Elephas maximus indicus: one gene and its partners. Each later gene encodes a partner of the first gene's protein in a complex. Links are inferred from orthologs where the notes say so. Each region holds a gene or a part of one and is shown in the gene's direction. Other genes may lie near its edges.

Region 1 (7,868 bases):
ACCTGGTTTCATTGATGGGTCCTTAGTTTCAGTTGCCATGACTGGCTGGCTGTGTAGCAAGATATATTTCCCATGTGCCCCCAAAACTGTTGAGTTGTTCTGACTCATGGCAATCCCATGCGTCTCAGAGTAGAATTGAGCTCCATAGGGTTTTCAATGGCTGATCTTTTTGGAAGTAGAATGCCAGGCCTTTCTTCTGAGGTGCCTCTGGTTGGACCTGAACTGCCAACTCTTCAGTTAGCAGCTGAGGGCATTAACCATTTGAGCCATCCAGGGACTCCTCAATAAGAACCAAACCAAACCCAACCCACTGTCGACGAGTCGATCCTGACTCATAGTGACCCTACAGAACAGAGTAGAACTGCCCCATAGTGTTTCCAAGGCTGTAATTTTTTTTTTTTAATTGTGCTTTAGGTGAAAGTTTATAGATCAAGTCAGTCTCTCATACAAAAAGCCATACATAACCCGCAGTGCACTCCCAGCTGTTCTTGCCTTAATGAGACAGCACATTCCTCCTCTCCACCCTGAACTCCCCATGTCCACTCAATGAGCTTTTGTCCCCTCTTCCTTCTCATCTCGCCACCAGACAGGAGTTGCCCACATAGTCTCAGGTGTCTACTTGAGTTATGAAGTTCACTCCTCACCAGCATCGTTGTCTATCTTATAGCCCAGACCAATCCCTGTCTGTAGAGTTGCTTTCAGGAATTGTTCCAGTTTTGGCCTATCAAAGGGTTCGGGGACAAGGACCGTCAGGGTCTCTGCAGTCTCAGTCAGACCATTAAGCCTGGACTTTTTATGAGAATTTAAGATCTGCATCTCACTGTTCTCCTGCTCCATCATGGATTCTCTGCTGTGTTGCCTGTCAGGATGGGCAGTGATCGGTGGTAGCTGGGCACCGTCTAGTTCTTTGGGTCTCAGGCTGATGGATTTTCTGGTTTATGTGGCCCTTTGTGTCTCTTGGGCTCATATTTACCTTGCGTCTTTGGTGTTCTTCATTCTCCTTTGCTCCAGGTGGGCTGAGACCAATTGATGCACCTTAGATGGCCGCTTGCTAGTACTGAAGACCCTAGATGCCTCTTACCAAAGTGGAATGCAGACTGTTTTCTTAATACATTTTGTTATGCCAATTGACCTAGATGTCCCCTGAAACCATGGTCCCCAGACCTCTGTCCCTGCTACTCTGGCCTTTGAAGATTTTTGGTTGTACTCAGGAAGCTTATTTGCTTTTGGTTTAGTCCAGTTGTACTGACCATCCCTGTGTTATGTGTTGCCCTTCTCTTAACCTAAAAAATTTTTTTGTCTACTAATTTTTTTTTTATCTAGTTAGTGAATATCCCTCTCCCTCCCTCCCCACCCTTGTAACCATCAAAGAATATTTTCTTCTGTGTTTAAACTTTATCTAGAGTTCTTATAATAGTGGTCTTATACAATATTTGTCCTTTCACAATTGACTAATTTCACTCAGCATAATGCCTTCCAGATTCCTCCATGTTATGAAATGTTTCAGATTCATCATTGTTCTTTATTGATGCATAATATTTCGTTGTGTGAATATACCATAATTTATTTATCCATTCATTGATGGGCACCTTGGTTGCTTCCATCTTTTTGCTATTGTAAACAGTGCTGCAACGAACATGGGTGTGCATATATCTGTTCGTGTAAAGGCTTTTATTTCTCTAGGATATATTCCAAGGAGTGAGATTGCTGGATCATATGGTAGATCTATTTCTAGTTTCTTAAGGAAGCGCCACATCAATTTCCAAAGTGGTTGTACCATTTTACATTCCCACCAGCAGTGTATAAGTGTTCCAGTCTCTCCTCAACCCCCTGCAACATTATTATTTCATGTTTTTTGGATTAATGCCAGCCTTGTTGGGGGTGAGATGGAATCTCATTGTAGTTTTGATTTGCATTTCTCTAATCTTTGCTCATTTTTTAATTGGGTTATTTGTCTTTTTGTTGTTGAATTTTTGCAGTATCATGTAGATTTTAGACATCAGAAAAGGCTTTAAATCTTTATGAAAGCAGACTGTCACATCTTTATCCCATGGAACAGCTGGTGGGTTCAAACCACCAACCTTTCAGTTCACAGCCAAGCACTTTAAGAAATGTACCACCAGGGCTCCCTCCCATATGACCAGCACTACATAAAAGATTCAGACCCTAAAACTTGAACAGGCTTTTCTGGGCAGACATACCACTTGGATCCTTGTAGTTTGCTGCTAGAGAGAAAGCACATTCTGGGCGGCCCTGGATGGGAAAGATGCAGAAGCCTATGCCTGGTCCCTCTGCACTCTGCCAATGCACATTGTTTTCCTGCTCCTTTTGCCCTGTATCCTTTGCTATAAAAATCCTTAACCATGAGCATGACCTGCGACTAAGTCTTGTGAGCACTTTCAGTGAATTGCTAAACTTGAAGAAGTCATGGAACCTCTGAAACACATTCGAAAAAGATAAGATTAAATCCCAAATTAAATAGGGATCTAATTGGAAAACAACCAACCAACAAAAAATATCATATTGGTTCCTCTAGAAGAAAACATGGGTGAATTTCTCTATAACCTGGGTGAAAGGAAAGGGTTTCTATCTATAATTCAAAATTCAGATGCTGGTGAGGATGTGGAGAAATTGGATGCCAGTCTTCTCAAAGACTCCTGGAAGGAAGTGGGAGGAGAATGGGAGTAGGGGACAGGGATGAAGGGAAAATGAGAAGCAAAAAATAAAAACGGTCCTTGCAGGCACTCAATAAACTTATTTCTATTGTGGTGTAGCAAAAATCATTGCACATGGAGTAAGTAACCTGGCAGAAGTCCCAACCTAAACCTTTGAAAGTTAATTGAGAAAGCTAGGGAAGAGGTAGACCTCATAGGGCCGGGGTGTAGGGGGTTGCTGTATTTTTGTGGGACCCAGCATCTTGGTCCAAGTGGATCCAGTTCCCAGGACCTGATTCAAGAGGTTAATGTATGCATCAGAATGTTAATTTATTATTCACAATGGAGTAAAACATCTTTCCAGTAAGCACATTTCAGCTTGTTATTCATGGTTTCTCCCATCTATGTAGTGCCTGGAAAACTAATAAAGTAAGTTAACTAAGTTAATTAGTGAGTACTGAATCATAAAAATGAAAGCTGAATGGGTTTGAGAAAAAGGCTGAATTCTTCCCATCTCACAAGAATCTACCATCAGATTCAGGTTTGCCCTCTCTTGGCCAGTGCTGAGTAAAGGCTAACCAATTCTTGCTCATGGCTCTCTTTTTTTACACCCCATGTCTCATATTTGTACTTAAGACATCCAATTAGTTTTATATTTCAGTCCCAAGACCACATCCTGAACATCATCACTGGACTTTCTTGATTAAACATTTGCAGAACACCTTTTAAACTGAAGTAAAAATAATGAAGGACTAATTATTATGTAATAGAAACCCTGTTGGTGCAAAGGTTTAAGCTCTTGACTGCTAACTGAAAGGTTAGTAAAACCCACCAGCCACTCTGTGGGAGAAAGGTGTGGCAGTCTGCTTTAGTAAGGATTACAGCTTCAGAAACCCTATGGGGTCACTATGAGTCAAAATCCACTCCATGACAACAGGTTTATTTATTATGTGCTGGGCATCACATGGAGTCCCTGGGTGGCACAAATAGGTGCTCAACTACTGGCCAAAAGGTTGGTGGCTCAAACCCACCCAAAGGCGCCTCAGAAGACAGGCCTGGTGGTCTGCTTCCGAAAGGTCACAGACTTGAATACACCATGGAGCACAGTTCTACTCTGACACACACATGGTTTGCCATGAGCTGGAATCAACTTGGGGACAACTAACAACATCAGGTATCACATACACATTTTCTCACCTAATCCTCACAATAATTCTATGAAAAAAAAATTCTGTGATGTAGGTATTATTATTTTAGAAATTAGGCAACTGAGGTATGGTGAGTTAAGTAACTTGCTTCAGGTGATTGAGCTAGGAAGAGGTAGGCAGGGATTCAAACAAAGCCAGTAAGACCTCAAAACCCACAACCTGAACAATTGTGCTTGATCACCCCAAGGCCCCAGGCTCACTTCCCTCATCTGTACCTATCCCAGAGTTGTGAGGCTCAAATGAAATAAAATATGCAGCAGGGGTTTATAACCTATGATGCATATCCCAAAATGGCATGTTATTTTTAAGTATAAAATTAAAATGCAGTGTATTTGTAATAATGGACAACAGCATGAATGCAGAGTGTACACATTTCACAAAATTCAGGTACTTAAAAACTTTTTTTTATTGAAACATAACATATATGCTGTAAATTCACAAATCTTGAGCATGTAGCTTAATTCCTACAAAAAGTAAAAATGGCTAAAAAAAGACAAAAAAGACCACTGTCCAGGTCAAATATTAAACATTACCAGTATTTCAGAAGCTTCTCCCTGGCAAATGTGCTTTTGACTTAAAGACCTGGATTCGAATCTTGACACTGTCGCTTACTTCTTGTGTGGCTTTTTCAAATCATTTAAACTCCTTGGGGCTCGGCTTCACATCTGTAATGTCGAGAAAATAGTACTTTATAAGACTGTAAAAGGAAGTCATAAAATGTAAAACGTCTCTCACAGTACCTGGATATAGCTGGTCTGCATTAAAGGATAACTATTTTCAGACAAGATGTAATAGGCGGTCACCAAACCATACTTCCTGCCTTTCTTTACACTTTTGAAAATTGCTCTTGGCTCCTATTCCTTTTCTCCTTTTTTTTCTCGCTCCTCCTACTGCCGTAAATTGCCCTCCAGAGCTGTCGTGAAATACTCCTTCCCCGCCCTCCATGTGGCGAAAACGCAACCACGCTTGACGGCGCGAACTGGCTCAGCCGCAAGATGGCGGCGCTGGCGGAGGAGCAGACGGAGGTGGCGGTCAAGCTAGAGCCTGAGGGACCGCCAACGCTGCTACCTCCGCAGGCAGGGGACGGCGCTGGCGAGGGTGGCGGCGGCACTACCAACAACGGCCCCAACGGTGGCGGCGGGAACGTTGCGGCGGCGTCGTCGGCCGGTGGGGATGGCGGGACCCCAAAGCCCGTGGTGGCTGTCTCCACCGTTGCCCCGGCGGGGGCGGCCCCGGTGCCCGCCGCAGCTCCGGAGGTCGGTGCTCCCCACGACCGACAGACTCTGCTGGCAGTGCTGCAGTTCCTACGGCAGAGCAACCTCCGCGAGGCCGAAGAGGCTCTGCGCCGCGAAGCCCGGCTGTTGGAGGAGGCAGTGGCGGGCTCCGGAGCCCCAGGAGAAGCGGACGGTACCGGGGCCGAGGCGGCTAGCGCACTTCTCAGCCGAGTCACCGCCTCGGCCCCCGGCCCGGCAGCCCCCGACCCTCCGAGCACCGGCGCGTCGGGGGTCGTCACTGTCTCGGGCTCAGCCTCAGGTACTGCGGCTCCGGGGAAAGGTGAGCCGCAGAGTCCCGGGGAAGCAGGGCTGGCATGAAGGGAGCAAGCCGGGAACGCAGGGGCTGGCAGGCCTGCACCTCTGCGGGCTTGTTTTGAATTTCCTGGGCCCGCCTCTAGGGCCACATGCCCGCCCCTTTCTCTGGTGCTCCGGCTGCGCAGTCAAACCCTCTCCCGAGCTGTCAGTTTCAGCTAGATGCTGAGGAGAGCTGTTGTACTGAGGCTGTATGGGAGAAAGTAGACGCTGAGCGGCAGGGACCTTCAGGCATTTGACCCCTCTTCTCTCATTTGGGCTTTTGGGCTTCTGAGCCTTGGACAGGTCTGCATTAACACTAACAATATTTGTACAGTTCCGTACTAGCGTAATTTAAAAGGACTTTTTTTTTTTTTAAGTTACATATTTTAGTTATCACAGTTCCACTGTGAGGTAGACATTGCCTCTATGTTAGAGATGAGAAAACAGACCGAGAAAGGTCAAGAGACTTGCTTTGGACTAGTCAGGAAGTGATGGAACATAGTGTAGGCAGCGTTTCTCAAAATATGGGCTAAGTGCCACTAGTGTTAAAATTTTTTGATGATGCTTATTAAAGTGCAGATTTCTGGACATCGCTTTAGGCTTAGTGAATTAGACCCTCTAGAGGTGGAGTCTGGGAATCTGCATTTTAAATCAATGCCTCCAAGGGGTATTAATGTATGGCAAAGTTTGAGAACCATTAGTTTAGGAATAGGGGGTTGGACAGACCTGGGTTCAGATTCTGTCCCTGCTTCTTTTACTTGTGCGATACTAATTAAGTTATTTTCCCTAAAGTTGAGTTGAGTTTTTTTTTTCTATTAAATGGGTTATTGTGAGGATTAAATATAATGTATATAGAATGATTGGCATTGATAGGTTTATGCCTTGGTATCCATCCCTGACACCTGATATCCCCCTGCCCCCCAAGCAACTATTGTCACAAAGTCCATGCGGTTAATCTCACACATAGTGTAAGGTCTCAAAGGTGATCCTGAGCCAACAATAAGTCTTTTTTGAATTAAATTATCTAGTGCAGAGTCCCTAGCCTTGTTAACTTTTATTTATGAGACCTAATCTTTGCAGCATTGCCAGAAGTGAAGCATGAATACATAGCACTGTATCCATAAATATAAATATGTAAAAATGTGATGGAGAGGAATCTTTTCTGAATAGTGTGAATTAAGAATTTTGTTAATAAACTATAAGATAGATGAATTGTGTTATTGGTTATGTGGCTATAATCTCTCATCTCTCCAGAAACTTGGCCTGTTTTTAAAGATCATAACTGAGAAACTAATAATAAAACAGGCCATCAGAGTAACCACAAAAATTGATAACATTTATGCAGTAAAGAGCATACCAGTAATATAATTGAAACTTACAAAAATTTTCAGCAACCAAACTTTGATTAAACTGACAGATATATCATTATTTGGTATTGCTATGTTACAAGTTTTTTTAAATGTATTTTTAGTCATGTTTTCTGCTTTGAAATGGTGGTTATTGAAATTGGTTTTTAACAACTCAATTTGAATTAATTATCTTTAGAGGAAGGCATGGTCCTTCTCACTCTTAAAATTCTTACATTTTCGAAGGGGCATAGATGTATACATGTGAGGGTAACACAGGATAGGATATGTTACAGGAAAGTTACAAAGTACTTAGGCAGCACAGAGACCTGGGAATGTTACTCCAGGGCATGGCTTCCTGGTGGTGGTGGTGGGAGCGGTATGCCATTTGCACTGAGCCTTGGGAGAAGATTAACATAGTTGTTTGATTTATACATATCATCTTTTATAAAATTTGCACGTAAAATAAGGTAACTATAGGAAAAGTATTGAATCTTTGTTGTTGATTTTCAATATTTATCTTAAGATACGGATAAGCTAAATATAGGGTTTTGGCCTGGCTGAATGAAACAAAGTGAAAACTCCCACTAGAAGACCATGTGATTACGCTGGGAGAGGAGAAATTGAGAAGAGAGACAAGCATATCTTAGCAACAACTCACCCCTGAACTTTAGCAAAATAGCCATGCCACATGGTACATATCATCAGGTCATTTTCTTGAAAGTTGTTTTACCTTTTTTAAACAGTTGGAAGTGTAGCTGTGGAAGACCAGCCGGATGTTAGTGCTGTGCTATCAGCTTACAACCAGCAAGGAGATCCTGCGATGTATGAAGAATACTATAGTGGACTTAAACACTTCATCGAATGTTCACTGGACTGCCATCGGGCAGAGCTGTCCCAACTCTTTTATCCTCTGTTTGTGCATATGTACTTGGAGCTAGTCTACAATCAACATGAGAATGAAGCAAAATCGTTCTTTGAGAAGTATGTAATTTATAAACCTATATAACATGTACCTGTATATAACCTATATAAAGTGTGTGTTTGTCTGTCTGTAACCACACAAATGTAAGATCACAACTCAAAAAGTAC
Region 2 (7,374 bases), on another chromosome or scaffold:
AAATTTGCAGTCCTGGATAGGTGCAGATGACAAGGTAAACAAGGTAAGCACACGTTTACTTGTGTTTATTTACTAATCTGTAGTGAAATTGTTTGCTACAGATGATCTGGTAAGCAAGGTAAACACTATGGTTACTTGCTTAGTGGATAATCTGCCTCTCAGTACATATTACTAACTGTAAGATGTACAAAAAAAAAAAAAAGAGGATGATTGTAAGTGTGGTTCCTCCTAACTCTAATATGTCATTGGGGGACTACCTGTATATTATTATCAAGCTACTAAACTATTTGACATAAGGAGCCCAGGTGGTACACTCGGCTAATAACCAAAAGGTTGGTGGTTTGAACCTACCAGCTGCTCTGCAGGAGAAAGATGTGGCAGTTTGCTTCTGTAAAGAGTACAGCCTTGGAAACCCTATGGGGCAGTTCCACACTGTCCTAGGGGGTCACTATGAGTTGGTAACAACTCAGTGGCAATGGGTTTGTTTTTTGGGAAGCTGCTTGGCATCTGGGGTCTTAAAATCTTGTGAGCAAGCAGGTATCTAAGGTACAGCAAATGGTCTCCATCTGACTAGAGGAACAATGAAGAAAAGAAGCTAAGAAACCAATTAAAATAATGTTTATTTCACAAAAAGTTACCCCACCAGAGGCATAGCTAGGGTAATGAATGCCCAGGGGTCATCTCAAGTCAAGGCCTTGCACAGTCTAATCCCAGCCTCATCCCAGCTTCATTTCCTGTATCCCTACCCAACAAACTTGTCTCTGGCAACCCATCCAGAGCATCTTGTAGAAACATGCCGTGACTTTTCATTCTGTGTTTTATTTCTGCTCTGCTCATCGTGCTGCAACTTTTTTTTCACTTTATTTTCTATTTTGGATTTCAGGTTCAGTGTATAATTATTCATGCCCCATGGTTTGTGACTATTGTAATTGGCCCTTCCAAAGCCCTTCTCATGTTATTAAGCTATTTATTTCCTTTTATCCCTATTCCTATTCCTCCTACCCTGCAACGTTTCCAATGTGTTTAATGCCTATGCTTTTGTTTATATGTTCCTGTAAAATGTATATTGTTTTGTGTGCATATAATTTTAATTTACATAAATGGTATCATGCTATAGTTCTCATTGTGTATTGTTTTTTTACTTAAAAAAACAAACAAACACTGCTGTTCCATCAATTCCAACTCATAGCAATCCTATAGTACAGAGTAGAACTGCCCTATAGGGTTTCCAAGGCTGTAATCTTTATGCAAGCAGACTGCCACCTCTTTCTCCTGTGGAATGGCTAGTGGGTTCAAACAGCTGACCTTTCAGTTAGCCGTCCAGCTCTTATAGCCACCACACCAATTAGCTCTATGTGTTTAAGCTGCATCCATGTTGCTAATATTTTCCTTCTGACTGCTGCATAGTACCCCTTGGTGTGCACCCAGCACAGTTTACCTATCCACTCCCCTGAATGAACACTGGTGTCTTAGCCATCTAGTGCTATTATAACGGAAATGCCACAAGTGATGGCTTTAACAAACAGAAACTTATTCTCTCACAGTCTAGGAAGCCAGAAGTCTGAATTCAGGGCGCCAGCTCCTGGGGAATGCTTTCTTTCTTTGTCAGCTCCTGGGGAAGGTCCTTGTCATCAGTCTTCTTGCTGATCTAGCAGCTTCTCTGTGGAGGTACCCTGGGACCAAATAATTTGCTCTGCTCCCAGCATTTCCTTTTTTGGTGGTATGAAGTCCCTCTCCTCTCTGCTCGCTTCTTTTATATTTCAAAAGAAATTGACTCAAGATACAACCTAATCCTGTAGATTGAGTCCTGCCTCATTAATATAACTGCCTCTAATCCTGCCTCATTAACATCATAGAAGATTTACAACACATAGAATAATCACATCAGATCACAAAATGGTGGACAACTGCACAATAACAGGAATCATGCCTAGCCAAGCTGACACACATCTCGGGGGGACACAATTCAATCCCTAACAACTGGGAATATTTCATACCTGACCCCCTGGACAAGTCCAGTCTTTCATTACTGCCTAATATAGTGGTTCTCAGTCCTATCGGACTCAATACCAAAAAAAAAAAAACAAACCAAACCTGTTGCTGTCTAGTCGATTCCAACTCGTAGTGACCCTGTAGGACAGAATAGAACTTCCCCATAGGGTTTCCAAGGAGTGGATGGTGGATCCCAACTGCTGACCTTTTGGTTAGCAGCCAAATGCTTAACCACTGCACCACCAGGGCTCCACTGAACTCAATAATCCCCCTTAAATAACAAATATAATGCCCCTTTTATTATCCTGAAAATGAAATTCACAGATAATAGGATCTACTAGGGTAGGTGGCTTCTAAGACAGCCCACTGTGATCCCCGCTTCCTGGTATTCTCACCCTATGTAGGATATCGCTTCCAAGATTAAGTTCCAAAAAGATTGTGTCTCCTGCCTTGCATAGTCTCCCTGGCTGTTTTGCTCACCTTCTTTGAGAAAAGCCAGCTGCCTATGGAATCAGTTCATATGCCTATGAATTGTCCTATGGAGAGGACCATGTGACAGGGAACTGAGGGAGGACTCCAATAGCTGATGAAGAACTGAAGCCCTTAGTCCAACAGCCCTCAAGGAATTGAATCCTGCTGACAACCACGTGAGTGATTTTGAAAGTGGATCCTTCCCCATTGACCCTTCAGATGAGACAACACCCTGACTGCAACACTAGAGAGACCTTGAGTCAGAGGTGCCCGGATAAACTGCATCCAGATTTCTGACCCACAGAAATTGTGTGATAGATGTTGTTTTAAGTTAGTACATTTTTGGGTAATTTATTACACAGCAATAAATAGCCAATACACCTACTGTCTTAGTCATCTAGTGCTGCAATAACAGAAATACCACAAGTGGATGGCTTCAACAAACAGAAGTTTATTCTCTCAGTGTCTAGTAAGCTAGAAGTCCAAATTCAGGGTGTCAGCTCCAGGGGGAAGCTTTCTCTCTCTGTCGGCTCTGAAGGAAGGTCCTTATCATCAACTTAGTCTGGGAGCATCTCAGTGCAGAAACCTTGGGTCCGAAGGATGTGCTTTGTTCCTGGCACTGCTTTCTTGGTGGTATGAGGTCCTCATGTCTCTCTGCTCACTTCTCTTTTTATCTCAAAAGAGACTGGCTGAAGACACCATCTAATCTTGTAGATCTCATCGATATAACTGCTAATAATCATCTCATAGCGATAGGATTTACAACACATAGGAAAATCACATCAGATGACATAGATTGGCACAATTCAATCCATGACACCAACCAATTTCGGGGTACTAGCATTCCTAGAAAATTCAATGTACATTAAAAGTGTAGGGAAGTATTTTTGTATTTATGTTAGCAAAGCTAGGTTCTAAGCTCAGATAATATAGTTTTTTCACTCACATGAATGTTCAGTAGGACATTCAGAAATCGTGTGTATTACGGAACAATTTTCACATTTGGCATCATCTGTAGCATTGCAGGACATCTCATATTCCTAGCCCTGGCCCTCTAATGATCTTGGTTTTCCTAATCATTGTTACGTCCAAAAAAGCCAAAACCTATCGCCCATTGTCGTGGACTCACAGTGACCTTATATAGGACAGAATAGAACTACCCCATCTGGTTTCCAAGGCTGTAACCTTTAGGAAGCTGACTGCCACATCTTTCTCGGGAGAAGCGGCTCGTGGGTTGCAACCCCCGACCTTTCAATTAGCAGCCCAGCGCTTAACTATTGAGTCACCAGGGCTCCTTTTCATGATCAAAAACCCTAGGAGGTGGTATCGCCCCTTGAGAACTAGTAACGAAGCACAATATCCCCAATAACTAACACTGTACTTGGCAATAAATGATAGTGGAACTGTAAATGGCTGAAATTGTTTAAATACACCTTCAACCAATTCAGGAGCCCTGGTAGTGCAGTTGTTAAATGATATACGGTCGCTAACCAAAAGGTCGGCAGTTCACATCCCGCAGCCGCTCCTTGGAAAACCTACGGGGCAGTTCTACTCTGTTCTATAGGGTCGCCATAGGTCTGAATCGATCGGACCGCAACAGGTTTGTTTTTGTTTTTGCTTTCCATCAGTTCAAGGACTGCTGGCTTGTCCCTCAATGGCAGTACCGAATCAGGAAAACAGTAGTTCCCAACTTAAAAGCAAATGTAGGCTGACGACGAAATACACGCCACCTAGACATGACTGCCTTCTCTCTGCTGTTTTTTAATTCTTTCCTCGGAAGGACGGACCTCGCCCTTCTTTCGTTAGAGATTGTTCCCGTTAGGCCTCCAGACAGGACTACTGGCACTCCTCCCCGGCGGCTGCCCGGCTAGGCCCCGCCCCGCGCCTGACGTCACAGGAAGTGAGGAGGCGGAAGTAGTAAAACCCATTTAGAGCGAGAGGTTGGCTGACTGATGAGATGGCAGATGAAGAAGAAGACCCTACCGTGAGTGACCGCCTCTGTGCCAACTCTCTCTTTTCTTCACTCCTTCAGGCTCAGTAGCGGCGGCTTCTGAGGCCGAGTTCAGAATCAAGTCTGTTGCCTTAGTGATTGAACCAAGAAAGTTTGGGGACCTCGCGCCTCGCCCTTAAACAAAAAAGAAGGGAGCCCTTAGGATTCATCTTTTTAGTACGTGGGGCAAGACGTGAAGGAAGAGTAGGAAGGTAGCACCTTTCCGTTTGGTTTTGGTTCATATCTTCCAGACACCTTTTGGAGCGTGTAGAGAATCATTAGAGTTCAAAGCCAATATTTGTTAGAGCTCGTTATGAGCCAGCAGTTCAACTAACAGAACTTTACTTACTTTAAAGTAGTGAAAAAATAATGAACCGATATCAGGGAGCTTGGATTTCAAAATTTGTTTTCTCTGTGAGCAAGTTATTTAACCCTGAGCTTCGGTTTCCTTGTAACATGGTGTTAAGGCTTACTTAAGTAAAGCTCCTAGTACTATGCTTAGTAAATACTAGTTTTGCTTACTACAGTGAGGTAAACTTCGATTCAGTACAACTCTTTTTGACAGTAACACTGTCTACCAATAGGTCAATTTGGTTAAAAAAAAAAAACTTACAGTCATTGGAACTCTTCAGGAGAGCCAGTGGGATTATTTGTTAGGAACAATGTAGAAAGCATTCCTCATGAGTCAGAAGTTGGACTAAATAGTCTTTAAGGCCTTGTCATTGCTAAGGTTTCATGATTTATTGCTTCTTGTGGGGCTTTCTGGTCTGAGACCAGTGTTGATAATGGGAAAAAAAATGGTAATCATTAAAAATCAAATGCAATGCAATCATATGACATTTCAATATATACATTTTAACTTCTAGTTTGAGGAGGAAAATGAAGAAATTGGAGGAGGTGCAGAAGGTGGACAGGGCAAAAGAAAGAGACTTTTTTCTAAAGAATGTAAGTTGTATTTGACAATGATTTTATTATAGATGATACAAAGTTTTGGACACATCCATTCATCAAAGTAGGTTTATCGTTCTGAATATGTTTCCCTGTAGGTAAAATGTTCTCACACTTGCCTATAACATCCTGTTTAACTTTTGGATAGTAATGGTCCTAACCCCAATTTTTATGTATATTTTAAGGAGGACATGTGACCAGTGTTTCAATTCAGCGCGTAAAAACATATCGCCATTACTTTTCCTGTCCTTCCCTTTTGCAGCAGGAGGAGCAAAAACTCCTTTGACTGTAAGTCACAGGTGAATCCTGGGAACACATGTGCTTGAGAGTAGGAACAAAGTTGGGGATTTGGACTGAGGTGGTGGACAAGGCAGGAGGGCAGGTGAACAGTGTGAGGCATTACAGTGCCACAGAGATAAAATGTATCGATTCTCTATCCTGCTCACTCAGTAGACAGTTTTGACCCTTTTTGGCAAGAGGGAAGGAGAGCTGCTGTGAGTACTGATCATCAAGACATACCCCCCCTTGTCCAAAGGCACCATGAGAATGTGCTCTCCATCTCCCATTCCAGGGTCTTTTAAATGTAGCTATGACCATGGGTATTGACAGATGAGGCAACACAGATTTATGAATACCTGGTGTATTTATCCTGGATCAGACATGAGCAGTTCTCAAATACTGTTGAAATCACAGGGTCAGTATGCCTTTTTTTTTTAAACCACATAAATCCTTCTCTGTATCTCAATTCCTCCCCTAACGCAGAGCTTACTTGACCACTCCTTATTCCATCTCTGATGCTACTTATGCCATTTGTATGTGGTTTTAATAACTATTATGTCAGTATAAGAAAGGGGACCCCACAACAGAGCATCTGGGAGTGATGCTTGCATAATTAGTTCTTAGCAGAGACCTTTGTTCCACGTCAGTTATCTTTGTGATGACAAGAATTTGGAATCTTCACAGCATTCTTGTCTTACCTGAGTGTTCATATATCTTAGTGATCAAGAGCTGTTTTCCTGAATCCTCTTTTTAGAAAAATTTTAATATAACATGAGATGTTTCAGAGCATTCACTGGGATTTGTTCATGCCTTTATAAACCCTTATACCAAATACAGTTTATATACTTCTAATATAAATTACCCTTTTCCAGAGAAACATATTTCCCTACCGGTGAATTCCACCCATCAAAATGAGAGCAAGAAAATAATCTCTCAAGATATTTAAGGAAAAATAGTAAATTTATAGGGGGCAAATCCTGGCAGATATCACTTTAACCAATTAATCAAAGTTAACATCACCAGTAATATATACTGATACGATATGATGCATTGAGAAAGGCAGATAGCCTCCCCTGGAATGCATAACCTCAACCTAATCATGGGAAAGCATCTGACAAACCCGGTATTCTTCAAAAGTGTCAAGGTTATGAAAGACAAGGAGAGACTGAGGAGCTGTCATAGATGGTAGGAAATGAAGGAGGTATGACAGCCAAATGCAGTGTGGGGTCCTGAGTTGGATCCTGGAACAGGATAAGGACATTAGTGGAAAACTAATATCATCTGAGTAGGTTCTGTGCTGTAGGACAGAGGTGAACTGCCATATAGAGTTTCCAAGGTTGTAATCTTTTTTTTTTTTTTATTGTGCTTTAAGTGAAAGATTACAAATCAAGTCAGTCTCATACAAAAATTTATATACACCTTGCTATATACTCCTCATTGTGCTCCCCCTAACGAGATACACATTCCTTCTCTCCACCTACTCTTTTTCTGTCCGTTCAGCCAGCTTCTGACCTCCTCTGCCTTCTCATCTCCCCTCCAGACAGGAGCTGCCCACATAGTCTTATGTGTCTAGTTGATCCAAGAAACTCCCTCCTCACCAGTATTATTTTCTATCCCATAGTTTAGTCCAATCCCTGTCTGAAGAGTTGGCTTTGGGAATGGTTCCTGTCTTGGGCTAACAGAAGGTCTGGGGG
Region 3 (7,926 bases), on another chromosome or scaffold:
CCCAAGCTCCACAGCCCCAAAGTCACTGCTGACCTCTGGAAGCAATAGAGATATTTAAAGGGGAAAGCCTTGGGTATTGTCAGCACACACACCTGCCATTCAAGGTGCTGGATGGCAGGCAGAGGGCCCATCTATTGGGGCAGGACTTCAACCTGCTGCTCCCAGCCTCTCCCAGTAGTATGCCATGCTGTACCACCAGGATCCTGCCTAGCCTCAGATAGGAGAGAACAGCTACAAGCCCTGGAATGGGTCACTCACACAACATACAGCATTAAAGCTGTGGGGCAGGGAAAGCTCATACGTCAGAAGGTTCTTCTCCATGACCCCTGCCCTTCCTGGGGGCTCCAAGACAAGTCAAAGGTCCTCTGGGTCATGCTTGGGGTGGCCTGGTGTCTTGGTTACCTCTTCTTCCTCCTCTTCATGCTCCTCCTCCCCTTCTGTTTTCTCTTGTCTATCTGTGATCTCCTCCTTTCCAGTCCAAGTTTCCTCTAGACACGCTAGGTTGGGTGACAGAAGATGGTTTAGATATTGGTCCTGGAAATAGGGGAGGTTGTGACCTCGCAGGAAAGGAGCCCAGCCCACACACTTACCAGTTTCTGCAGCTGGAAGCACGTGCCTTTTACAGAGAAAATGCTGTAGGGGCTGCTCCTGGTGGTGGAAGTACCAGTCTCCCACAACGTCTTCGAACTCCTCCAGCATTGTTTCACACTAGTCAGGAGGAAGGGCCAAAAGGGCGTCTGTTCTGCTGGGCTTCGGAAACCCTCCTCTCTGCTCTCCACTTCCTGTCTCCCCTATCCCACCTGGCTGACCTTGGAGAGGCAGGCAGCCTGGGTTTTAAGCTTGGCTTACTAGATGTGTGATGCCCATTCACTCAATAAACATTTCCTAGCACCTACTCTGTGCCAGGGAGTTTATTGAACTTCTCTGAATCTCAGCTCCTTGCCTGTAAAATGGGGAATGGTAATAGTACTTGCCTCAAGAGGTTGTTGTGAGGGTAAATGAGGCAGCAGCTGGGAAGTATGGCCTCCTGAATCTGGCACATAGCAAGTGCTCAATAAGCAGTTAAAAAACCAAATCCATTGCCATCGAGTTGATTCCAACTCATAGTAGCCCTATAGGACAGAGTAGAACTGCCCCATAGCGTTTCCAAAGAGCAGCTGGTGGATTCCAACTGCCAACCTTTTGGTTATCAGCCGAGCTCTAATCAGAGCTCCCACAATAAGCCGTAGGGGTTATTTATTAGCCTCTGTTATCACTTCTTGGTATTCTCCCAAGCCCACTTCAATTCACGGTAGTCTTCATTTTACCACTTCTGCCCTCTTCTCCCTGCTCAGAGGTAGACGTCTCCTACTGTCAAATTCTAGGACCCAGTTCTCCTCTCAGGTCCCCTTCTCCCCCCTCGGGCAGCACAATATCTTATCCTACCTGCTTCTTGAGGAACGTGACCTCCACACTGGGCTCGTCCCACAGCTCCAGAGGTATCCCCAGATCCACCTTCACCCCCTTCTGAACCAGGCCTCTCAGCGTTGCCATGGTCTGACTCTGGCCCTGAGAGATGAGGAATTTGGGTTCAGAGATGTAGTGGGGTGCGGGGGTTAGATGGGTGCAGAGTGGGGCACTTGCCCCGAGATGCAAGTTGAAGGGGGTGCCAGATGACATGCGGAATAACATTTCGAGGCGCCACAAATATGAAAACTGGCTCAGCCAGACAAGAGGCGATAAGGTGTTTCTGCTGACAAGTTGCCACTATCGAAGGCTATGCATCTTGAAATTGGGGTGGGGACACAACTTAGAGATCGCCTCTGGGTGCTCAAATTTGGGGAAGGCATGTAATATAGAGATTGCCCCTGGGTGCTTGAATGTGAGGGACTCCAAGCAACTTAGAGATTGCCCCTGGGCACTGGTTACGCTCACTATACCCCTGTATGGGATCAGCCTGCTGGCCACCTCTTTCTTCCTCTTTCCCACCATATCCACTTTGTCAACTACTGGAGACTGAGGAGTGAATTCCATGAAGGTGAGAGGGGGGAGTCTGATGATGGGAAGGGGACACTGGAGATGGGGAGTGATGGGCAGACATCTCTTGTGGACCTCAGGGAATATAAGTCTTTGTCTCTAAGAGGTGGGATCCCCCACCATGGCTGCCCTGGAGAAGGGTCTGACCTTGGCGTATCTCAGTGAACCCTTGCGTTCAGCATGAACACTGTAATCTAGGATCCGCTCACATAAATTCTCCAAGGCCTCTTCCAGTCTTGTCTCCCTGTGGGAAGAGGGGAAATAAGGATTCCCTGGATGCTGTAGGAGTTCTCAGGGCTCTTACAGTGAAGGGACACCAAGGAAGACTCACGAAATGCTGTAAGGGACGTGTCTCTTCCTCTTGCCTGTGTCCAGCACCTGCCCCAGCTCCAGCATCTCTCGAGATCGACCAGTGCGGCTCAGCTCCTCCTGTAGCTCCAGGCTCAGCAGCTTACAGACTTACGGAATAAAGACGTTCAAGGAGATGTGAGAGAAAAACAAACACACCAGCACCTCATTCTGCAGATGACCAAAGGCAGCACAGCATGACGGTTAAGTATAGGCTCTGGGGCCAGTCTAACTGGTAGAATCCTGGCTCAGCCACTTAGTGGCTGTGTGACAATCTTGCTGTGCCTTGGTTCTTCATCTCTAAAATGGAGATAATGAAAGTATCTCCCTCAAAGGGGTACGGCGAAGATGAAATAAGTTAATATATGTAAGGCCCCTAGAATAATGCCTGGCACACAGTGAGCACTGTATATACGTTTGCTGTTATTTTGCAATTATTTATTGAGTGACTTTTGTATGCACACTAATATAGACAGCAATAAAACCCACAATCCCTATCCATGGGACATGTGACACTGCCAGTGTAGACAGACAGATGATGACAATATGGTGCAATGGACTCTACACTAGGGATTCAGATAAAGAGACATCCTCATGAGGAAACACAAAATTCATTCAACAGTGATTTCCTGAAGAGCAAACATCACTCCTGCTCTGCCACAGTATTTCCGGCACCTAGCACGCGACCTGGTACGTGGTGGGTCCCAATAAAAGCGTATGACCAATACAGAAGTGACAGGCAAACTAAATACTGGAGCAAGTAACAAAAGTGCCTAAAACGTACCAGGTGCTATGCTAGGGCTTGGAATACACAGACACACCCTGTCCCTCAAGGAGCATGATACAGTGGGAGGTGACACATGAGGAAAAAGACTTCCAGAGGAGGTAATGTTTAAACTGGGTCTTGAAGAATAGGTAGGTGCTTACCAGACACAGAAGGAGAGGGTCACTCCAGGCAAAGGGAAGAACAATGTGCAAAGGCAAGAGGTGCAAGAGGATAAGGCAGAGTCGGTGACCGGTGACCAGTGAGAAGTTCAGTGTGGCTGGGGCCGTTTTGGGATAGGGGATGGGAAAACGGAAATATAAGAAAGGTTACAGCAAAGATACTTAAGACACTATGCCCAAAATGTTAGCTGTATTCTGATCACAGTAAGAGGATTGTAGGGGTGTTAAAATAAGGACAAGCGGATGGACACGCTTATGTCTGTGTTCAGAAAGGATGATGGATGTTGCCGGGTGGAGAGAAGAGTGGGGACACAGAAGTGAAGGGAGAAGAGAGCTTAGGACCAGAGTCTGAGAAACACTGCTACTGATATGCAGTAAGGGATGAGGTGAAGAGAAAAAGGATCCAGGGAAGAAATTACCATCAGGAAGGCAACAAACTAGGGACACCAGGGCACCTGATTACCCAGCTCTGAAGTGCCCCTCCCAGGTTGGGCCCACACTAACGCAGCCACAGAAGATGCTGCTTGCTGTAAAATCCATACAGTGCACACCCTCTACAAGGCCTCACATCATAGGGAAACTCACAGCAGTGTGACCTCCTCTTTGGTTTATGAGCTTGAAGGGTGGAGTTGCTCACTCCCAGCCCCCCTCAGGGGTGCACAGGTCCTGTAATTTGAGAGCCTCTCTGTGGAGCTGGGACAGAGGATGTCCACAGGTATGAACCTCACACGTGGCTCCGGCACGCCCTCCAGATTTAGGTCCAGTGACAAGGGGCACGCACACACACACACCCGAAGATGCTCAGTACGCAGTAGGCAGTCCTGGGCATAGTCCCTGAAATACAATTCCCACAAACCATGGGGGCCCAACCTCGCAAGACAAAGGGGGCTCCCTCTGGATGTCTCATGGGAACTGTACTGCCATAGTCTTGAGATCGCACTATGCCATTCCCTTCCTTGATCTCTTTCGAATTTTGCCAAGTTCACCGAACCGCCTACAGGCATTCAAGAAGGTCGAGTGACCTATCCATCACGGTCCCTTTGGTCGTATCAGTCCTTTCTTTAACACCCCTGCAGTCCTCTTACTGTGAGCAGAATACAGCCAATGTTTCTAGCAATAGCATACAAGTCTCTTTACTGTATGGCCCCAACCTTTCTTACATTCCCATCCTCCCACCCTCATCCCAAACGCGCTCCCAGCCGAGGGAAGTGCGGCAGGGGGATACAGATAGATGCTACTCCCTTTAGATACCTTCGCATTTGCTGGGCAAGCGTTCTAAGTCATCGTCCTGCTCCTTCGGCGTTCTGGCCCGAGCCCCAAACACTGCCAAAACGAAAAACAACGTCCCCAAACGCACAGGTCCCATGACAAAGTGCGGTCCACGAACAACCATTCTTCTATTTCCGAACCAACTTTTGCAAGGCAGCGGGCCCTTTAAATTCAGAGGGAGGGGTGGACGGCTGCTGGAAATCCAGCCTAGCAGCTCGAGCGCGTGCGCAGTGCCCACCGAAGGAGGCGGGGCCTTACGTACTTCTGGGCTTCCCCGCCCAGGTTTGGTGGCGCCTCCTGAAGGTCCTGGCCGACGGGTAGTGAAGGAATAAATCAGAGTAATTGGGACGGGAGAGAGTACTCCTTCCCACATATTTAGAAACAGTGTTTTTATATCATTTCAGGACGTAAGGCTAGGGGACTCGTTCCAGCTCCGCGGAGGGGCCGTGTATTGTTGTCCTCTGCCCGGACCTGCTCCCTAGAGGGGGCGGGCCCAACATGGCGCCCAGCGCCGGGTGAGCGGCGCTTTGGCGGCGGTGAGAGACTTTGCAGGCTTGGACGCTCGGCTGGCGGGGGTGGGTCTGAGTGATACCAGGGACAAGACCCCCAAAAGGTCCCTTGTGGGGACCGGCAAGAGGACGGTTGGTTGTGTGTCCCTGCGCGTGGGGACCCCCGTGTGTGTGTTTGCATTGAAGGATGTTGGGGGAGATGGGGTGGGCTCTCTGAGCCTTTGCTCGCACTGTACCCATTGCCTGGGGGCCTTCCCCCCACTTTCTCTGCTGGGAAAACTACACAGCCTGGAAGACGTAGGTCAAGCCAGCCCTCTGGGAAGCCTTCCCAGTGCCTCCACTGATCTGAGGGGCTTCTGAGGCTGTAGGGAGTTTTATGAGCCCTCATTGCACACCTGTATCTATAGGGCCCAATGCGGGGGTAGCAGAAAGACAGATACGTAGTCAACCTCCAGTGGGAAACGTCCTGAAAAGGACCAGATTCTGGGGACAACGGCGGGGGAGTGATTAGTTCTGTTGGGGAGTGGGGTGGCTTCGCTGAGGGGAGGTGAGTACCGCTGGATGTTGGAGGATTGATAGGAATTCTTGTGTACCCAGCACCAGGCACAGCATATGTGTTGAATAAATGTGTTCCCTACAGGTACATAAAAATGTAGCTATAAAATGGGAGAGGAGACCTGGGATGGTTTGAGAAGAGCCAAATTCTCCTGCGTCTTGCACCTTCCCCGTCTCCAGTCCTCCTTCACGCTCCCCTGCCCCCCAAGTCGGTGCTGAACACTATTGACCTGTATCTTCCTAATGTACAGCTCCAAGTATACTACTTTTGATCACAGAGTAGATTCCAAGCTTGGGCCTGTATCTTATTCATCTTGGCAGTAGTGATGCCGAGTATTTATTGAACACCTACGTGGTATATACAAACATCTCTAAGCCTTACAATTCATTCAAATATTTATTGAGGGTCTACCTTGCCTTAGTCATTGCCTGGGCTCTTGGAATACATCAGTGAACATAACAGACAAATATCCCTGTCCTCATGGAGCTCACATGGTGGTAGTAAACAATAAGAAATTATAGAATATATTAGATGTTAAATGCTGGCGGGGGGGGGGAGGGGAGGAACAAAGTAGAGCAGAATGAGGGTGGGATGGAATGTTAAATAGAGTGGTCACAGTAGGCAGCCAAGCAGATATCTTGGGGAGAGCATTCCAGGCCAAAGGAACAGAGCAAAGACTATAAATCAAGAGTATGCCTGGCAGCTTCAAAAAACAGCAAAGAGGACAGTGTGGCTGGAGGTGGAAAAGGGAAAGAAAGGAAGTCAGAGATAAAATGAGGATGGGGCAAACCATAAAAGCCCCTGTGGGCCATTATAAGCATTTTGGATTTTACTATAAGGCAAATGGGGAGCCATTACAATATTTTGAGCAGATAAATGACATGATGGGGTTTACATTAGATGGAATTATGTTGGCTATTAGGAATAGTTATTAGGAATAGATGTAGGTAGGTGAGGGTAGAAGCTGGGAGACCTTGTTAAGAAGTTTTTGAAGATATCCTGGGAAGAGATGATGGTGACGTGGGCCAAGATGTTGGAAGTGGGGGAATCAGAGTGGGTCCGATGTGAGGGTTCAGATAAAGATTGAGTGCCTGCATGGACGGCACTGCTGTAAGTGAAGATTAGGAAAGCTGAGCCTGGAACAGGTGGGTAGAGATCAGGAGTTCAGTTTTAGTGGAGCTTTTGAGGAGGCAGTTGAGTATACAAGTCTAGAATTGGGGAGAAAGATCTGGGCTGGGGATATAAGTTTGCCCCATAGAAGTGGTTGAGATCACCAGAGAAGTAAATGTAGCTAGAGAAGAAGACCAAGGACTGAGCCCAGGACACTCCAAAATTAAGCAGACAGAAAAGGAAAAACCAGTAAAGGAAACAGCAAGGGAGTAGCCAGTGAGGTAGGAGGAAAACCGAGTGCAGGTAGTCTGGCAGTCAAGTGAAGAAAAGTATTTTCAGAAGAAGGCAGTGGTCAACTGTATACTGCTGAGAGGTCAAGTAAGGTGAGAACCTTGGAGTTAGTGATGTGGAATCGTTGGTGACCTTGACAAGAGCAGTTTCAGGGACATAGTGGGGGCAAAAGCCTGCAGTGGGTATAAGAAGGAAAGGAAAGGAATTAGAAAGGAGTTCAAAGTCAACTCTTTCAAGGAGGTTTTTTTTTTTGTGTGTGTGCTTTAAGTGAAAGTTAACAAACCAAGTCAGTCTTTCATACAAAAACTTATATACGCTTTGTTATATACTCCTCGTTGCTCTCTCTGTAATGAGACAGCACAATCCTTCCCTCCACTCTATTTTCGTATCCATTCAGCCAGCTTCTGACCCCCTCTGCCCTCTCCTCTCTTCTCCAGAGAGGAGCTGCCCCCAACATCTCATGTGTCTACTTGATCCAAGAAGCTCATGCTTCACCAGTATCATTTTCTGTCCTATAGTCCAGTCCAATCCATGTCTGAAGAGTTGGCTTTTGGCATGGTTCCTGTCTTGGGTTAACAGAAGGACCATGACCTCTGGGGTCCTTCTAATCTCAGTCAGACCATTAAATCTGGTCTTCTTATGAGACTTTGAGGTCTTCATCCCACTGCTCTCCTGCTCCCTCAGGGATTCTCTGTTGTGTTCCCTGTCAGGGCAGTCATCGGTTGTAGCTGGGCACCATCTAGTTCTTCTGGTCTCAGGCTGATGTAGTCTCTGGTTTATATGGCCCTTTCTGTCACTTGGGCTCATAATTACCTTGTGTCTTTGGTGTTCTTCATTCTCCTTTGCTCCATGTGGGTTGAGACCAATCAATGCATCTTAGAT
Region 4 (7,288 bases), on another chromosome or scaffold:
AAGCAAAGAATTGTCGATAGGTAAGCTAACACTACAGATGATATATTCCAAAGTAGAAGCCTGAGACATCTGTGTGTATTAGGGTCATCAGGGAGGGCTTTAAGAAGTTAAGACCTAAGCCCAAGTAGAATGAGAGAAGAGACGGGCAGAGAGAAGGGGGCACAAAGTACAAAGCCATTGTAGAATAAGGAGGGTCATAATAGATGAGTAAACATAAGCACACATGGGGTTTGGAACATTTATACCCTCTGCAGCTTTAAGCCCCCATTCCTGCCAGTTTTACTCAGTCACTCAAAGAGCTGCACCAATGCAGGATTGCAGTTGGCAGGACTGGTGGGGTGGGAGACGGCAGCTAAGACAAAAACCAACTCTAAAGTTTTGATTCTATAGCCGTATTAACGTTATGACTCCACAGCTAACTCAGGGTCCTTGAAGTGGGGGTACAGAGGGCCTACCTTTCACTATTTCTAAGCCTAAAAAGGGAGGACATGCTGACCTGGGATTATTTAAATGCATGGTCTCATTTGCTCAGAAATCTTTCACTCATTTTAACCAGAGTCACCACTGAGATGGTTGTAATTAATGACACACCTATTATAACTAGTGCCTGCACATCCTCCCTGCCCCCAGGAGTCGCAGGAATGAGAGGCTAGGGCAGTTCTAGGCCTTCTGCTGTTTCAACACCACACACAGGAGTAAGTCAGGCGTCAGCTCTTTTACTCAGGAGAATGGAGACACCACCCACCCTTTATGACAGACACAGAACACATACATGAGCATGAGGCCCAAAGTAAAAACACTGTGCTCAACGGAGATTTCCTAGTCTTGCAAAACTATGTGACAGCTAAATCTCAACAAAATTCCAACAGTCCCTGAACGAGGGCACTAAGAGTGACTTGACCTGTACTTGGGGGGAGGAGATATATGAAAGTTTCTCGCTTCAGCAGAGTATGCTGCAGGTTTAAGACATCTCTGGCAAACCTCCAAATACTGCATCTTTCCATTCATTAGAGGCAGACACATCTCCAAACTTCTATAGTCTTTCCCCATCTCTCGGACATCATAACTGCAAAGTATGGAAGTAATCCAGGTAAGACTCAAAACCTGATTCGTACATTCAATGCACATTTACAGAGCACCTGTGAGTTGTCAGGCACTGACCTCAGTGCTGGAAATATAAACATGAGAAGGGCTAAGTCATTCTGAATTCAGATCCATCCATTATTTTGCTTTATCGCACCCAACCACAGTCAAGGCTCCAGGTGGGAAATTCTCCTTAAGAGTTGGAATTGACTCAACAGCAATGGGTTTGGCTTAATTTAGCGTTCCACTAGCGCCATTCCTTTCCCACTTTTGTGCTTCTAACCATGGTGTGCCCACCTGGAAAGCTCTAGCTCACAGGACTTCGCCTATCCAAGTCCTTGCATCCTTCAAGGCCAGCTAAAGTCCCCCTTCTCCTGGAAGCCTCCCCTGACCCCCATGTCATCCAAAAGCAATCTCTCCTTTCTCCAAACTACTAACAATTACAGCGAGTACCAATCAGTTTATTTAGAAATTTATGGTTTTCTACTTCATGGTTTTATTTATTCGTCAAATATTTAGTACTTACTATGTGCTGGCATTGTTTTACAGGATGGGGAGACAGCAGTGAATAGCACACGGTTTTGCCTCCCAAAAGACGCTCCTGGGGAGAGTTAGTTCCCTTACACTGCTTTTTAAGATCCTTCTGTATACACCTGGGTTGGTACTCAGTGTTTAAAACTTAACAATTTATTAAAACCTCGTTCAAGCACATTCAAATCGCAGTTAAATAAACTAATGGGGAACAAATGCTAACGAAGCCATTTCTAAATGAACTTCCACATCTTAAAAACCTCAAAGAACAAGGAAGGAAAAGAAAACAGGGTATGAAAGCGCTGCTGAAATAACAAAATTTAACTCGCAGTGACGAAGGACCTTCAAACCCCCTTCCAAGCCACAAACAGTGGCCTTTTCCTTCAATCCTTTCAACTCTAGACCTAAGTGTTTATTTTAACAACAGATCTTGGAAAAGTTTAAAGAACCCCTCCGTTTCCTAAACAACTCTTTCTAAATCTTTATTTCTTGATGAATAAATCCCCTGATGAATCCTGCATATGTCACTAACAGACTAATCCAGTGAAGTGCAGTACAAGGAACTAGAATTCGAACTTCAAGCGCAAGGCGGGCTCAAAGAAGAACACTTTGAATCTGACAAATCCAAAGACAATTTTAATATAAACAAAAGCCAGGTCCTGCAGAGCCTGGAAGAAGGTTTTAAGTTCCTAAAGAATCAACAGAATTTCTTCCAGGAGAGCCGCGAAATTCTGCAAGGCGTGGGAGTTTCGGCAGGAGGTGAGGGAGGTTTAAAATACTTATTTTTTTGCTCTAAATCGGCTTGTGAGATGCCACAGCTGGCACCCTATACCGGGTAAGGGTGAAGCCGAGCTGTGCCATGAGGCGGAGGGTGCCACCTGGGCACTCCCACCATTCTTCGCACCCGGGTAGGACACGGGAGGAAAGCCCGTGGCCGCGCGGACCCGGACCAGCGCCCCCTCCAGTTCTCGGTCCGGTGGGCCGCCTGTCCTCGCCCCGCTCAACCCGCAGCCCACCCCGCCCAGGTCTCAGGAGCCCCGACCTCTCTGGGGACCAGGAGATGGGCGGGAGAGGGGGATCTCCAGGCGGCGGCCCGGTCCCCGCGCGTACCCACCTGAGCAGACTGGAGAGGGGGTGGCTGGAGGAGCCGAGGCCGCCGCCGCCGCCGCCGCCGCCGCCGCCGCCGCCGCCCCCGGAGCCGCCTCCGCCGCCGCCGAAGCCGGAGGAGAGCCGCTTCCCGGACAGCAGCTTCTCCACCGCCGGGAGGTGCCCGGTGCGGGCCGCCTCCAGCAGCTCCTGCTCCTTCCCCATCCCCAGGGCCGACGCCCCCTAGACCCCAGCCCCGGGGCCGCAGCAGAGCCCGAGCAGGCTCCCAAACTTTCCGTCTCCGGGCAACGCACCCCCCAAACCGGCCGGGGACACCACCCCCCTCCCCCCCGCCTTTTCCCCACGCGCGCGTCACTTCCGGGATCTGGCGTCACGCGTCACCGCGCCCCCGAGCCCCGCCCCCTTGCCCACCTAGCTGGGCGGGGCTGGGAGGGCGGGCTCAGGTGGCTGGGCCAACGCGAAGTGGACTCCGCTGTAGGGATAGGGCTCGAGGGGCCAGGGGACGACACCGTGTGGCCATTCGCTATCCAAGTGGAAGGGGACAAACGAGGTCTACCTGTACACGCCTCCCAAAGTGCGCTCCTTTACCGAAGGTTTTGGGAGCCCACGGGACAGGAAATACGGTAATTCATCCAGGCAGTGCAGAAACAAAGAGAGAAATATGGTAACGCGCACCTACATTCCCAAGTTTATTCTTTAAGCACGCACAAGTTAAATATCTAATGGGCGCGGGGACCTAGTGATAGGTGAATAAAACGTGCCCTTTTCCCGGACTTTATTAATGAGCTCGAAGGAGGAAACAGAGGAAGGTTTTAAAATAGATCTATTCTCACCTCTTCGTCCTCCCAATTCCTGAAATGGCTCATTGAGTGAAACATCAAAGGAGAAAATTTGACCCCGAAAGGATTTGTTTCCTTTTTTTTTTTTTTATGAGATTAACCAAACTGACATAAAAAGGCAGATTTGTGAAACCGGCCCCGAACTTTCCAGTTACTGGTAAGTTGTAAACATCATTTAATTGGGTAGGAACTGTTTTGTTCACTGGTTCCTGGTTCGAAGTAGGCGCTCAAGAGTTGTGGAGTGAATAAATGCAGTGGATAGTTTCTGCTCAATCTAGTATTACTTTTTTTTTTTTTTTTAAGTGCATGCGGAATAGAAATGTTAGCAACTCATTGTAAACCCGGGCCCGCAGTCTGTTTAATTGAAACGTACGCGGTTGAGTCTCTGCCTGGAAGTTTGCCAGTCAAAGGCAGCCGCATCCCGCGGCACGAGCACACAACGGAACTGAGTTTCCTTCCATATCCCCGCAGCTTCTTTACTCAGCGAGTCAGGTTAACGAGGGGGTTAACTGATATTGCATTTTTTAAAAGGCGGAAAGGAAAAAGAAGCCCTTCAGTAAACAAAAGTGCGCGCCTTCACAAAAGCTGGTTACCCCGGAGCGAAGGATCCACAAACTGAACTCCGTACCCCCAATTTTCCCTCACCCCACCGCCCCACAAGAGTTAAAACAGATCATCAAAAGCCGCTCTACGTGCCCCCAATTGACCCCTCCGCCGAGCGGTAGGGGTGATGTCATCACAGCGCGACGACAGGAAGTAAGCTCCGGGGCTGCTGAGCCGAGCGGGGTTCAGCGCTCCCGCGTCTGACAGCGCCGCGGTCTACTCTCCGCCTCTCGCGGAGATGGACAATGCCTGCGAGTCGCCCACGGACAAAGGTGGAGAGACAGGGGAGTCAAATGAGACACCCGCCGCTCCCTTGGGTCCCGGGAACGCCAACACGGACGGAATACCCGAGGAAGCTGACGGGGACGGAGATGGGGAATTGAAAGAAACCCCGGTGGAAGAAGGCGAGGTAGGGAGGTGTGTTGTTTAGGCGGGAGGAGTACACCGAGACTAGGTTACTGGGTGCTCGCCAGGCTTCTTGGTTGGTCCCTCCTAAGCTACAAGAGCTCAAATTCACAACACTGTCTAGATCGTCAGTCATGGGAAAAAAGCCTAGTGCTGGTTACATTCCAGAGGCCCACGTACAGGGTTAATATTTTTAATCCCTACTCTTAGGAATTAAACTACTTCTAAGGGAATTTTAAACAGTCTTTGGTGAAGAAGTTAGGGCCCGATGTCACATCGAGACTTAGTGCAAGAGCCAGTACTAGAACCCAGGATTACCGGCTATTGGCCTAGTATCTTTTTCACCAAAATATGAGTCCTCTTGTTAGCTGCCATAGAGTCGGCCAGACTCATAGCAACACCATGCACAACAGATCGAAATACTGCCCGGTTCTGCACCATCCCCATGATGGGTTGTATTGGACCATTGGGTTGTATAGGGTTTTCATTGGTTGATATTCTAAAGTAGACGCCAGGCCTTAAATCTGTCTTACTCTGGAAGCTCCACCGAAACCTGTTCAGCATCATAGCTACAGGCAGGCCTCCACTGAGGGAGTGGCAGTGCATGAGGTCCACTGGCCGGGAATCCAACCTGGGTCTGCCGCATGGGAGAGTTCTACCACTGGGCCACCAGTGCACCCATGGGCACTCTTAGATGTTGGTTAAGCATAACTTTTGTCTTTATAGATGACAGAACCGATAAGATCCCATTAAAAGGAGACTTTGAAGAGAGACATTCTTACTCTCTTGGGACATTTAACTGCTACCAAGTACAGTGACCTGTGTGCAAATGTCAAAGAGTCTATAGAGCATAAAAACGTCAGACCCATCGGTTATGCCACCCCCAGAGCTCAGAGTGTTGCCTAGCTGAGGATCTGCCAAGTGACCAGAATCTCAGCATTCTCTGTGTTTCATTTCTAGAGATAGAATCTTGGGGTCTTAGAGCTAGAAAGGACTTAAGAGATCGTGGAATCCACATTAGATTAGATGGAAATAGCCTTTCGGGGCACAAAGTTGCCTCCAAATATACAAAGTAAGTTTTAGAAAAAAAGATGTGACAAAAACTATTTTAAGAAAGAGCCTTTAAAAGATGTCCCAAGGACAGAAAGGATTTAAATAATAATTAGCTTGGTCCAATGGAGAGCTCTACCATCTGTCTGTTTGTTGTACTGTAGTGGCTTATGTGTTGCTGTGATGCTGGAAGCTATGCCATCGGTATTTGAAATACCAGCAGGGTCACCCATGGTGGACAAGTTTCAATGGAGCTTTCAGACTAAGACAGACTAGGATGAAAGGCCGGGCAAGCTACTTCTGAAAATTATCCAGTGAAAACCCTATGGATCACAACAGAATATTGTGCGACATAGCACTGGAAGATGAACCCCCTAGGTTGGAAGGCGCTAAACAATAGCTGTAACAATGGGATAAAACATGCCAGTGATCACAAAGATGGCACAGGACTGGGCAACATTTCAATATGTTCTACATAGGGTCGCCCAGGAATCCAGGCTGACTAGATGGCAACTAATAACACCACCTAGCAATAGAGAACTCACTACAAATAGAACTTTGCAGCCAACAGAGAATATAGGTTCTTTTTTGATACTTCTGAAACACTTTTAAAAATTGATCATGTACTAGGCCACAAAGAGAAACGTAAATTCATAAATGTAGAAATCATAATAGGCCACGTTCTGTTAGTACAGTGCAATTGTTATTCTTGTTAGTTGCCCTAGAGTCGGTTCCAACTTAAGGCAGTAAATCCTGAAATTAACAATAAACTAATCACTGGGTCATTTTAAATAGTCCTTAAAGAAATTAACAAAAAGAACAGTCTGTATCAAACACTATGGAATTTGACCAAAGTCTAACTTGGAGAAAAATTCACAGCCTTAAATATTTTTGTTAGTGAGTGAACAATATCGAAAATAAGCACCCAACTCAAGAAATCAGAAAAAAAAAAAAGCAAAATAAACCAGAAGAATGTAGGAACAAAGAGCTAATTAGGATAAAAGTAAACATTAGCGAATTAGCCCTTGAAAAACGTTAAGAAATCATAAAGTTAAGACCTGATTATTTGAAATGTAAACGTACAACATTACAAAATAAGAAAGGGGCTATAAGCACTGATATGGAGATCCTTAAAGTTAGGAGAAAATTTAATGTTCAAGTTTAGGCCAAACAAATTTGAAAACCTAAACCCAAACCTGCCGTCGAGTTGATTCCGACTCATAGAAAATCTAAGAAAAATGAATGATTTGCTAGGAAAATATAAATCACCAAAATTGAAGCACAAAGAGGTTAGAATTTTTATATAAATCATTAACTAGAGAAGAAATTTGAAAAGCATGTCTATCTTCACTCCCACCCACCCTCCATTCCCATATTCCTGTATGAGTTTAAATGTGAATTCCTCTTTAAGGGAAACAGGATAAATCTCATTCGTGAGTTTTGTTGTACCCTTAGATTCTGTATTGACTTCAAGAGGATAAAGTTTGTGTGTGTGTGTATATATATATATATTTTTTAATTAAACAGAATTTTATTGAACAACTAGCATGAGTAAAAGTCTGTTAAATGTTTATGGGGGAGATTTATAAATAGTAGGAGACTATCTTCAATAGTTTTCATTCTAGCAAAGGGAAATAAAAGGTTGCTTGATACAGTAGAAAAGTTAGTTA

The links.
Region 2: TAF5 (region 1) and TAF13 share a complex: the UniProt entries of both Homo sapiens proteins name them as parts of the TFIID basal transcription factor complex. The link is inferred for Elephas maximus indicus from reciprocal best matches to the Homo sapiens genes TAF5 and TAF13.
Region 3: TAF5 (region 1) and TAF6 share a complex: the UniProt entries of both Homo sapiens proteins name them as parts of the TFIID basal transcription factor complex. The link is inferred for Elephas maximus indicus from reciprocal best matches to the Homo sapiens genes TAF5 and TAF6.
Region 4: TAF5 (region 1) and TAF11 share a complex: the UniProt entries of both Homo sapiens proteins name them as parts of the TFIID basal transcription factor complex. The link is inferred for Elephas maximus indicus from reciprocal best matches to the Homo sapiens genes TAF5 and TAF11.

Annotation. Positions count from the first base shown.
Region 1 is NC_064834.1:54,832,947-54,840,814, forward strand, and holds the start of TAF5 (transcription initiation factor TFIID subunit 5), read left to right. Parts: upstream 1-4,857; coding exon 4,858-5,416; intron 5,417-7,522; coding exon 7,523-7,760; intron 7,761-7,868. UniProt on the Homo sapiens protein: The TFIID basal transcription factor complex plays a major role in the initiation of RNA polymerase II (Pol II)-dependent transcription.
Region 2 is NC_064821.1:172,516,712-172,524,085, forward strand, and holds the start of TAF13 (transcription initiation factor TFIID subunit 13), read left to right. Parts: upstream 1-4,359; 5' UTR 4,360-4,420; coding exon 4,421-4,447; intron 4,448-5,319; coding exon 5,320-5,398; intron 5,399-7,374. UniProt on the Homo sapiens protein: The TFIID basal transcription factor complex plays a major role in the initiation of RNA polymerase II (Pol II)-dependent transcription.
Region 3 is NC_064830.1:91,624,043-91,631,968, reverse strand, and holds the start of TAF6 (transcription initiation factor TFIID subunit 6), read left to right. Parts: upstream 1-4,921; 5' UTR 4,922-5,153; exon of another isoform or gene 5,154-5,219; intron 5,220-7,926. Other genes in the region: CNPY4 (protein canopy homolog 4), read right to left, coding at 355-497, 591-708, 1,426-1,548, 2,164-2,260, 2,348-2,474, 4,561-4,702. UniProt on the Homo sapiens protein: The TFIID basal transcription factor complex plays a major role in the initiation of RNA polymerase II (Pol II)-dependent transcription.
Region 4 is NC_064819.1:97,761,241-97,768,528, reverse strand, and holds the start of TAF11 (transcription initiation factor TFIID subunit 11), read left to right. Parts: upstream 1-4,284; 5' UTR 4,285-4,401; coding exon 4,402-4,572; intron 4,573-7,288. Other genes in the region: ANKS1A (ankyrin repeat and SAM domain-containing protein 1A), read right to left, coding at 2,729-2,925. UniProt on the Homo sapiens protein: The TFIID basal transcription factor complex plays a major role in the initiation of RNA polymerase II (Pol II)-dependent transcription.